2 linked regions of the Mus musculus genome follow. The protein of the gene in region 1 binds, or shares a complex with, the protein of each later gene. Links are inferred from orthologs where the notes say so. Each region holds a gene or a part of one and is shown in the gene's direction. Other genes may lie near its edges. The genes, in order: Rab11fip2 and Rab25.

What was found.
Region 2: the proteins of Rab11fip2 (region 1) and Rab25 are in contact, whole or in part, in a crystal structure (PDB 3TSO), measured with the Homo sapiens proteins. The link is inferred for Mus musculus from reciprocal best matches to the Homo sapiens genes RAB11FIP2 and RAB25. Residues at the interface, in NP_055719.1 of Homo sapiens: Arg475, Glu478, Ile481, Asp482, Asn483, Leu485, Val486, Met489, Pro493, Ser494, Leu496, Arg497, Val498, Pro499; in NP_065120.2 of Homo sapiens: Arg34, Ile45, Gly46, Val47, Glu48, Phe49, Ser50, Thr51, Lys62, Trp66, Arg73, Arg75, Ala76, Ile77, Ala80, Tyr81.

What each region holds. Positions count from the first base shown.
Region 1 is NC_000085.6:59,933,076-59,936,888, reverse strand, and holds part of Rab11fip2 (rab11 family-interacting protein 2), read left to right. Parts: intron 1-814; coding exon 815-1,283; intron 1,284-3,813. UniProt on the Homo sapiens protein: A Rab11 effector binding preferentially phosphatidylinositol 3,4,5-trisphosphate (PtdInsP3) and phosphatidic acid (PA) and acting in the regulation of the transport of vesicles from the endosomal recycling compartment (ERC) to the plasma membrane.
Region 2 is NC_000069.6:88,545,368-88,549,938, reverse strand, and holds the start of Rab25 (ras-related protein Rab-25), read left to right. Parts: upstream 1-1,659; 5' UTR 1,660-1,863; coding exon 1,864-1,906; intron 1,907-4,571. UniProt on the Homo sapiens protein: The small GTPases Rab are key regulators of intracellular membrane trafficking, from the formation of transport vesicles to their fusion with membranes.

The sequences.
Region 1 (3,813 bases):
GATTGTTTGAGTACCTCCCAACACCTAATTGATAGATTCACCGGAGACATGCTTGCTTGTATCTATATTTTTGTTGTATGTGGTAGAGAAATGAATCCTAGCCTTCTTTTGTGGCCTGGCCTCTTTTTTCTGTTATCATTTCTCCATTTCAAAAGCTTGCAGCGGGAAATGTTTGGCAAAGTGCTTGCCTTGAAAGCATGAGGATCTGAGGAGTTCCTTAGACACCCAAATGCACACTGAGACAGTAAGGCAGGAATGGAGGAGGTAGAGACAGGTGCATGTCCGGGGCTCCCTGGCCAGTCAGCCAAGACCACTTGGGAAATTCCATACCAGTAAGAGATTTTGTCTCAAAACCAAGATGGGTAGTTCTTGAGGAATGACAGTGTTGGTTGACCTCTGGCCTCCACGCATATCCATGGACACACCAAAGAGGAAAAAGAGCCTGTAGCATATATTCCATTCCATACAAGTGTTTCTAGAAAAATTTCTATATTCAGAGGAAACAAAATTGGATTCTAATGGTGGAAAAGTTTAAGACTTTTCAGTATGATTGTGAGAGCAGGCCCTTTGGATGGATTTTACACTTTTCTCATGTGATCGGTTCTGAGCCAAAGAAGATAGTAATATAATTGTCTAAAAATATAGTATCATAGCACATCTACTTATAATACCCCTTACCTAATTTTAAGATTGTTTTGATTATTTTGAGGGTTGATATCTTGTTAATTGCTCTCATTCTGAAGCAGCAGAATGTATCAGATAGTGTAACAGCATATGTCACCCATCACCTACTAATGGGAAAAAATGTTTGTAGGAAGTCTCAAGTCTCCACACAGACGAACACTAAGCTTTGATACTTCTAAATTGAACCAACCTGGCAGCATTGTGGATGAAGGTGAACACTCTTTTGGAAGACAGAGTGACCCATTTACAAATGTGACTGCTTCATTACCCCAAAAATTTGCAACACTGCCAAGGAAGAAGAATCCATTTGAAGAAAGCAGTGAGCCATGGGACAGCAGCATGAATTTATTCTCAAAACCAATTGAAGTCAGGAAAGAAAGTAAGAGAGAGAAAAGGGAGAAGGTGAGCCTCTTTGAAAGAGTGACTGGCAAGAGAGATAGCAGGAGACCTGACAAGCTGAACAATGGTGGATCTGATAGCCCATGTGACTTGAAATCACCTAGTGCTTTTAGTGAAAACCGGCAGGACTATTTTGAATATGAGTCAACTAACCCGTTTACAGCAAAATTCAGGGCTTCAACTATAATGCCATCTTCAAGGTAAGCTCACCAGGAGGAACATGTGCCGTTTGGGGGACCTTGTACTTGAAAATAATAAGTATTCCTTTTAGATGCATGAATATTTTATATTCTTTTTATTTACTTATTTATTTTTACCTTTAAAAAAAAAACTATCCATCATAGATCTAAACATTGTTGTTTGCATGTGTCCTTGGAATTGAATGTTTTACCTTGGAAGAGCAAAGACTTTTTCCTTTCTACCTCAGTCTGCTCCTACCTATGGGAGCCAGAAACCTACCATAGTTCTTGGAGAAAACAGCATGGTATTTGATGAGACCCAGTAAAAGTGAATAGACCATGGGCATGAATTCAATCCAGAAGTATATTTCTAGGTGCTTCCCAGGGATTAAATCACGGGCTGTCAGGAGAGCGCCAGTGAGCCAGAAGCAGTCAGCATGGTGCTATTTAGCAAATGCTGAAGTACTAATGTTGTCATAAAAGATGTTAACTGTCTTTATTAGATGGCTGATCAGAAATATCTTTTATTCATGAATACATGAATGTCTTCTTGAATCCAGGGACCCTTGGGGGTACTGTCTGTACCCTAACCAGAGCCCTGGGTGACAAGTAGCCATGGGTACAATCAGCTGATGAAAGTTAGAGTTTTAAAGCTTTGGGTCCTTCTGTGTACATGGCTGCTTACTTCACAGCATTAAAGTCAGAGGTTCTGCAGTTCTGAGTGATAGAGGACCTGCTTAAGGAACCTCAAGCAAAGATGAAGATGACCATGAAGTTTTTAAGTAATTGTAGAGAAATACAGTAGAGGCTGAGTGTCCTGTGTAATATACAGACCTGAGTGGGAATCCTGACTGTGGAGTACTGTGACCTCTCTAGACCTCAGCATCTACATCTCTGAAGCAAAGAGGATATATGTAGTTTGTAGGATGTAGTGAGGCTAAGTAACACACACATGAAACACACAGTACAAAGCCAGGTACCAAGCGGGGATCGAATAGATGGTCACTGCTTCAGGCTGAGTATCCTTCACTTGGAACCCGATCCACTTTTATGTAGAAGTAGAATGACAGTTTAACGCTTTCATCGTGGGTAGAACCTTGAGCTTCAGATTTGGAATTTTTCAGATTTGTAATTTTTACATGGAAAGTCAATGCTGATATTCTAAAATTCTAAAACCAAACTGAACCACTTTGGGTCCCAGAAATACTGGGTAAGGGACAGGTGACCAATTGATGTCTTATATATCCTTTTCTTTAAAATTGGGGCTTTTTGTTTTGTCCCAGTACTTACAGAAGACGGAGCATTAACAGCCACTTGGGTACGCTTTTCTCTTAGACCTCTCCATCATGAATGCAATGCCCACCCTTGAATGTATATCTTCTATGCTATGTTAAAAAATGCTCTTAAAATTTCCAGAGGGAAGTGCTCATTTTCTGTTTGTTTTCTTTATTATTAGATGGGAATTTGCTGTAGTTTTAGAAAAAAAATTCATTCAGTTTTATCTATAGACTATACTTCAGAGAAATAAATTTTTATTTTGTGCTTTCCTGACACAGAGATACTTCTTCATGTGTCTCTACTTCATCAACTCTTAAGTACAAGCTAAATAAGAGTGTGCCCCTCCCTTTCTGAACACTTATTTTTTTGCAGAGATTACTGAAAACAAGTGTTCAAGGTAACTTAGAGATTGGCTAAACTAGGTAATTTTAGAGTCAGTGAAAAGCAGGAAAAAAAAGGGAACTAGTTTTAAAATAATACAATACAAATAATATGAAAAGTAACTGTCCTCAAGCTGTGGCCTCTGTGGCTTTAACAGGGAGACGGCCTGCACTAGATTTCAGCTTCATTTTGTTCCACTTTAATATTAACACTACTATCAAAATCAAGGTTGTATTATAAATCCTATGGTTACAAGTATATAAGAAAAAAATTCTTTTAGAACTTAAGACTTTTTCTTTGTATTTATGAAGCTCCAGGTATGGGGACAGAAAGTGCATTCCTGGAAGTTTCTGTCACAAGTCATCTTTCTGGTAAACTAGAACATTTGTAGTTAATGGGTGTCTCCAGTTAAGGCGTAGAACAGAATTTTTTCCCAGTATGTTAAGTAAAACCTACTTAGAGAGCTCCTGAACTCTTGTGACCCATGGTTTTGAGACTACTGTGTCAACTTAAAGCACAGTCCATTGCCAAGAAGCTGGTGTGTGAACTGACACGCCTGTGATTGCAGGAGCACAGGAACCATGTCTGTCCTCTAAGTAACTAAGCATGCCACTAGAACTGGAGAATTTTCTTTATATTCCTCTATTTTCTGTCACTAAGAACATAATTTTTAGAAGTTAAAGTTTTTAGTGTTTGTATATGTAACATCTGCCCAAGGAAAAGGCACATTGGAAACTACAAAATACACTTTATTTTGCATCTTGGAGTCATTCCTATAGTCTTGTGGGAAACTGATGAGGAAATTAGTCAGGCTGCCTGCATCAGCAGGATGCATGGCTCCTCTCTGAGGTTCACTCTAACAGTATTCTTCCTGCTGACCTGCTCTGCTTCC
Region 2 (4,571 bases), on another chromosome or scaffold:
GGAGGCTGGAGTAGAAAAGGGATGATGATCTGGAGGGAGGGGCGGGGCCCTAGAAACGCCATATCGGGCGAGGTACAGGAAGGGGGGGTTGCTTTTTTCTGAATAAATTTTCAACTCTTACCTGTGTCTCACCTGCTTTCTTGGGAGGAAAGTGTGGAGTGGTTTCCTCGGGAGGATTCCCCTCTCCTGCAAAGGTGGGCTCTCTCATTCCCCATCACCAAATCTCTCAGTGGTTCTTGGCAGGGCTGCCCAGTGCCCTTGGCTTCTCCAGTGCTGTGTCTCATCATACTCCTAATTGCTTTTTTTTTCCATTAATTTATATGTTTATTCTATTTACATTGCAAAAAGCTCCCTTCCCATCCTCCCAGAATTGCTTTTCTTTAAACAATTTGTTTTTTGGTTTTTGTGAGACAGGATTTCTCTGTATAACCCTGGCTGTCCTGGAATTCACTTTGTAGACCAGGCTGGCCTCCAACTCAGAAATCCGTCTGCCTCTGCCTCCCAAGTGCTGGGATTAAAGGTATGTGCCACTACACCCGTGTGAAAAAATTGTTTAGGTTATTTTATGTACATGAGTGTTTTGACTGTTTGTGTGTCTGCACTTGTGCCTGTAAAGGGCATCAGATATCCCTGAAACCAGAGTTAGCAGGTGGCTGTGAGAGAGCTATGCTGAGAACCTAACCAGGGTCTTCTGCAAGAGCAGCGGTGCCCTTAGCTGCTGAGCTCACTCAACCCTCAGAGCAGAATCTCACCCGCCCGTTTTGCAGCACCTGGGACTGATCTAAAGGAGCAAATGCCTGTTCTTGCTGGACACAGAAAATAGAGGTCACCCTTTCTAATTTAAGGAGTGCTCCTGCTCCTTTCCCTACCTTTTCATGATCCTCTCTGCAGCATTTGTTTTAATTTAAAAAAAAAAAAATCGTGTGTGAGCACAGCAGACTCCTCTGCATTGCCTTTACTTATTTACTGTTTGCGTACATGACGCGTGGATAGGTGTGTCCCACATACAAGCATGGCAGTCAGAAGATTGACCCCCAGAAGGCCTCAAGGTCTTCATCTCAGATCCTGCACCCATATTCACCGCATCCAGCTCTTTCTGCCCTTGTCTCTGAGATCCGTCCACGAAGGTAGTAAATCTGTTTATTGTATGTTAGGAAGGGACCCATCTGGGCAGGTGGCGTCCCAGCTCCACCTGTGTGAGAAATGCTGCCCCTCCCTGGCCTGGGGCTGTTAAGGAGGGGCCGGATGCTGCGTGCTGGTACAGCTCCCAAAACTCTGCATTGTGGGGAGATGCTGTGCCCAGCTTGCATTTCTTGCCCTGATAGCCCTTCCCCTGATGCCCCCCGGTATGTGTCCTTACCAAAACCTGAGATGGGAAAGCTGGAGGCCGGTACGTTTCTGCCCCACCCCGTGTCTACTTCAGCCCAGTGGCAGCTCTCCTTCTTAGAACCCCCAAAACCCAGCAATGTACACTCGGGCTCGCCGCAGCCTCACCCACTGTTACCTCTGTGACCAGGCCCTCTTATTTGGGGGAGTGTGGGCCAAGAGCAGACACCTAACCTGTTTAACCTGTCTGACGTCATCATCGCTCCACCCACCTGTGCCCCAGGTGCCCAGCGGAGCTGGCTAGCTCTTCCTGTTCTCAGCTTCCGTCCTCTCAGCTCCCACAGAGTAGCTAAACGTGCCAGAGCTGAGCCTCTGGGGCTCTTCCTGGCCTCAACTGAGCCCTCTTGTCCTTTTCCCCCAATGAGAGAGGAGCCAGGTGCAGGTCTCTTAAAAGCTGAGAGTTGAGGCCATTTAAACAATAAACAGACTCGTGACCTCTGCACCTGCAAACGTCTTCACTCTCCATGCTGAGCCAAGATGGGGAATCGAACAGATGAAGATTATAACTTTGTCTTTAAGGGTAAGTTGGGGTTCTCGAAAAGGGAGACTCCAGAGAGGGTGGGAGAGAGGCTATTTCCAGAGGACACAGGGTCTCCCTTTTATTTTTATCTCTACCTTGGACATTCTCCCCCCACCCGTCCCCAAGCTCAGCATTCCTTCTCCGAGAGAAAGGCCATGAGGAGTAGGCATGTCTGGTTACAGGTACAGATGTTCTGGAGTTGTATGCTCTCTATAAAGATGTGGATAATTTCTCCCTATTGCCAAATTATTCTTCCCTGCCCAGTCTCTAATAGATGCTCAAATCCCTGGGAATGTCAGTGAAGCCCAAGAGATGGAAGTCGGACTTCAGAAAGGACTTTCAGAGTAGAGGGAGAAGCAAGCCTATTTAAGAGGAAGAAAGTCATCTCTACCAGCAGATGCGTAGGAAGGGGTGCGCCCCCCCCCCCACCCCCCACCCCCCACCCCCCCCCCCCCGCAGTCATTGTTGATCTAGGTAGTTGACACATAGGGAAGTTGATACTTAGGTAGTTGATACACCCGGACAATGCATTGACTCTCCAGCCATCTAATGGATTCCACAGGACTCCTGGGCTGCAGCCTGTGCCATGCATGGCCTCTTGTACCACACAATCTTTGGACCCAGATACTAGGCACAGGGTTTGCTGGGCTGTTTCTGACAGTGCACATGCATCCTGCCTGCTTGCTTTCCCTCAGCTCCTGGTGTTTGGTCTCTCTGTGGGTCTCTAGCTCTCCTTCTTGAAGGCTAGGTGGCCTGGTGGCACTCTCCTTTCCTTTGCACCACACCCACAGCCTCTCCCAACCTCAGCCCCACCCTGGCCCAAGCTGGGGAGCCTGTACTCCTGGCATTTTCCCAAGGAATCTGGTGGGGCTGTGGCCATGGTATAGTAACTCCCGTTTGTTGAGGCCCTACTGGGTGCCACTCTCACACACTCATCTTACAGCCCTGGTGTGAGCTATCACCGTGAGTGGTTGCATGGCCTCTCTGCCACTTACCAGTTAGCTCAGATGGGGTCCCAGTGCCACTTCTGAGAAGTGTCGGGTATTCTGTAATGATTATAAGCCACCACATGTGAAGATAAGCAGGAGGAAGCAGGACTAGGCAGAGGATAGTCACCTGCCTGCCATGAGAGAGAGCTCAGAGCTACTCAGGGAACAGGGAGCTTTGGAGTAGCCTTGGAACACTGTCCCTGGGGTACCACATGGAGCTGTCCAGAGAGGTTTGACATCCCCATGTCCGTGAGGGCTCACCTGTGAGCTGTCACTGCTACTGCTTTCCTCCCTGCAATGAGGGGGCGGGGCAGATCCTTCCCCGAAGGTAGAGGTGAGCAGCACATCTATGTTTAGAGCAGTGTGATAGACCTACTAGCTGGGTGCCTTCCTTGTCTATAAAAATGGGCATGGTGGCTGGGCGGTGGTAGTGCAGGCCTTTAATCCCAGCACTGACGAGGCAGAAGCAGGTGGATCTCTGAGTTCGAGGCCAGCCTGGTCTACAGACTGAGTCCCGGGACAGCCAGGACTATACAGAGAAACCCTGTCTTGAAAAAACAAAATAATAATAATAATAATAATAATAATAATATGGGCTGAAGAGATGGCTCAGTGGTTAAGAGCACTGACTGCTCTTCCATCCAAAGGTCCTGAGTTCAAATCCCAGCAACCACATGGTGGCTCACAACCATCTGTAATGAGATATGGTACCCTCTTCTGGTGTGTTTGAAGATAACTACAGTGTACTTACATATAATATAATAATAAATAAATCTTTTTAAAAGTCTAATAATAATAATATAAACAAAAATGGGAACAATAAAGGCATTTACCTCAGGCATTGTTGTGGGGTTACATAAAGTTTTTTGGATAATGGCTGATGTGATGGAAACACTCTGTAAATGTTAGCCACTGGCATTTTACAGAGGAGGACACTAAGATGTAGAGAGAGACTTAAGTTGTTTGCCAAAAAGAAGTCACTAAAGGGGCTGGAGAGGTGGCTCTGTGGGTAAGTACCCACATGGTGGTTACACTCATCTTTAACTCCAGTTCCAGGTGACCTGACACTCCACCAGGCATGCATGTGGTATACAAACACATGTAGAAGCCACATGCTCACTTACATAAAATAGATAAATCTTAAAACAAAATTAAAAGGCCTCAAAGCCAGTAGGGACAGCTACCTGCCTAGCATTAAAACCTTGCCTGAGGACAGGGTAGCGGATGGATGAATGGGAATGCTTCTCCTCACAAAGGAGAGGCAGTAACACACATGCATGCAAAAAGGTGCACTCCAGCACCTGCCTCTCACCCACAGAAGTGTCACCAGCCAACCTTAACCTCAGTCTTCCATGGAAACACACCAAATACCCAAGCCCTTCTTCCTCATCCTTCCAATTCACTTACAGACATCTGCATCCTTCCCATACTCCCTAGTCCAGAAATGTGCACTCCAGGCCTTCCGTGCTTTTATCCTTTCTCACGTGACCTGTCTCAGTAACCTTTCCACATGTCCTCTGCCAGCAGCCCACAGCTGTTGCTCTTAACTGCGGTACCCTGCTGCCTCAGCAGCCCCTGTCTCGAACACTGCTGGCCCTTCTGTTCCCCGGCCCTAGACAGATGTCCTATGTACTGTGGCCAATCCCCTCAGTGTCTCTGCCAGAAGAGACAACTCT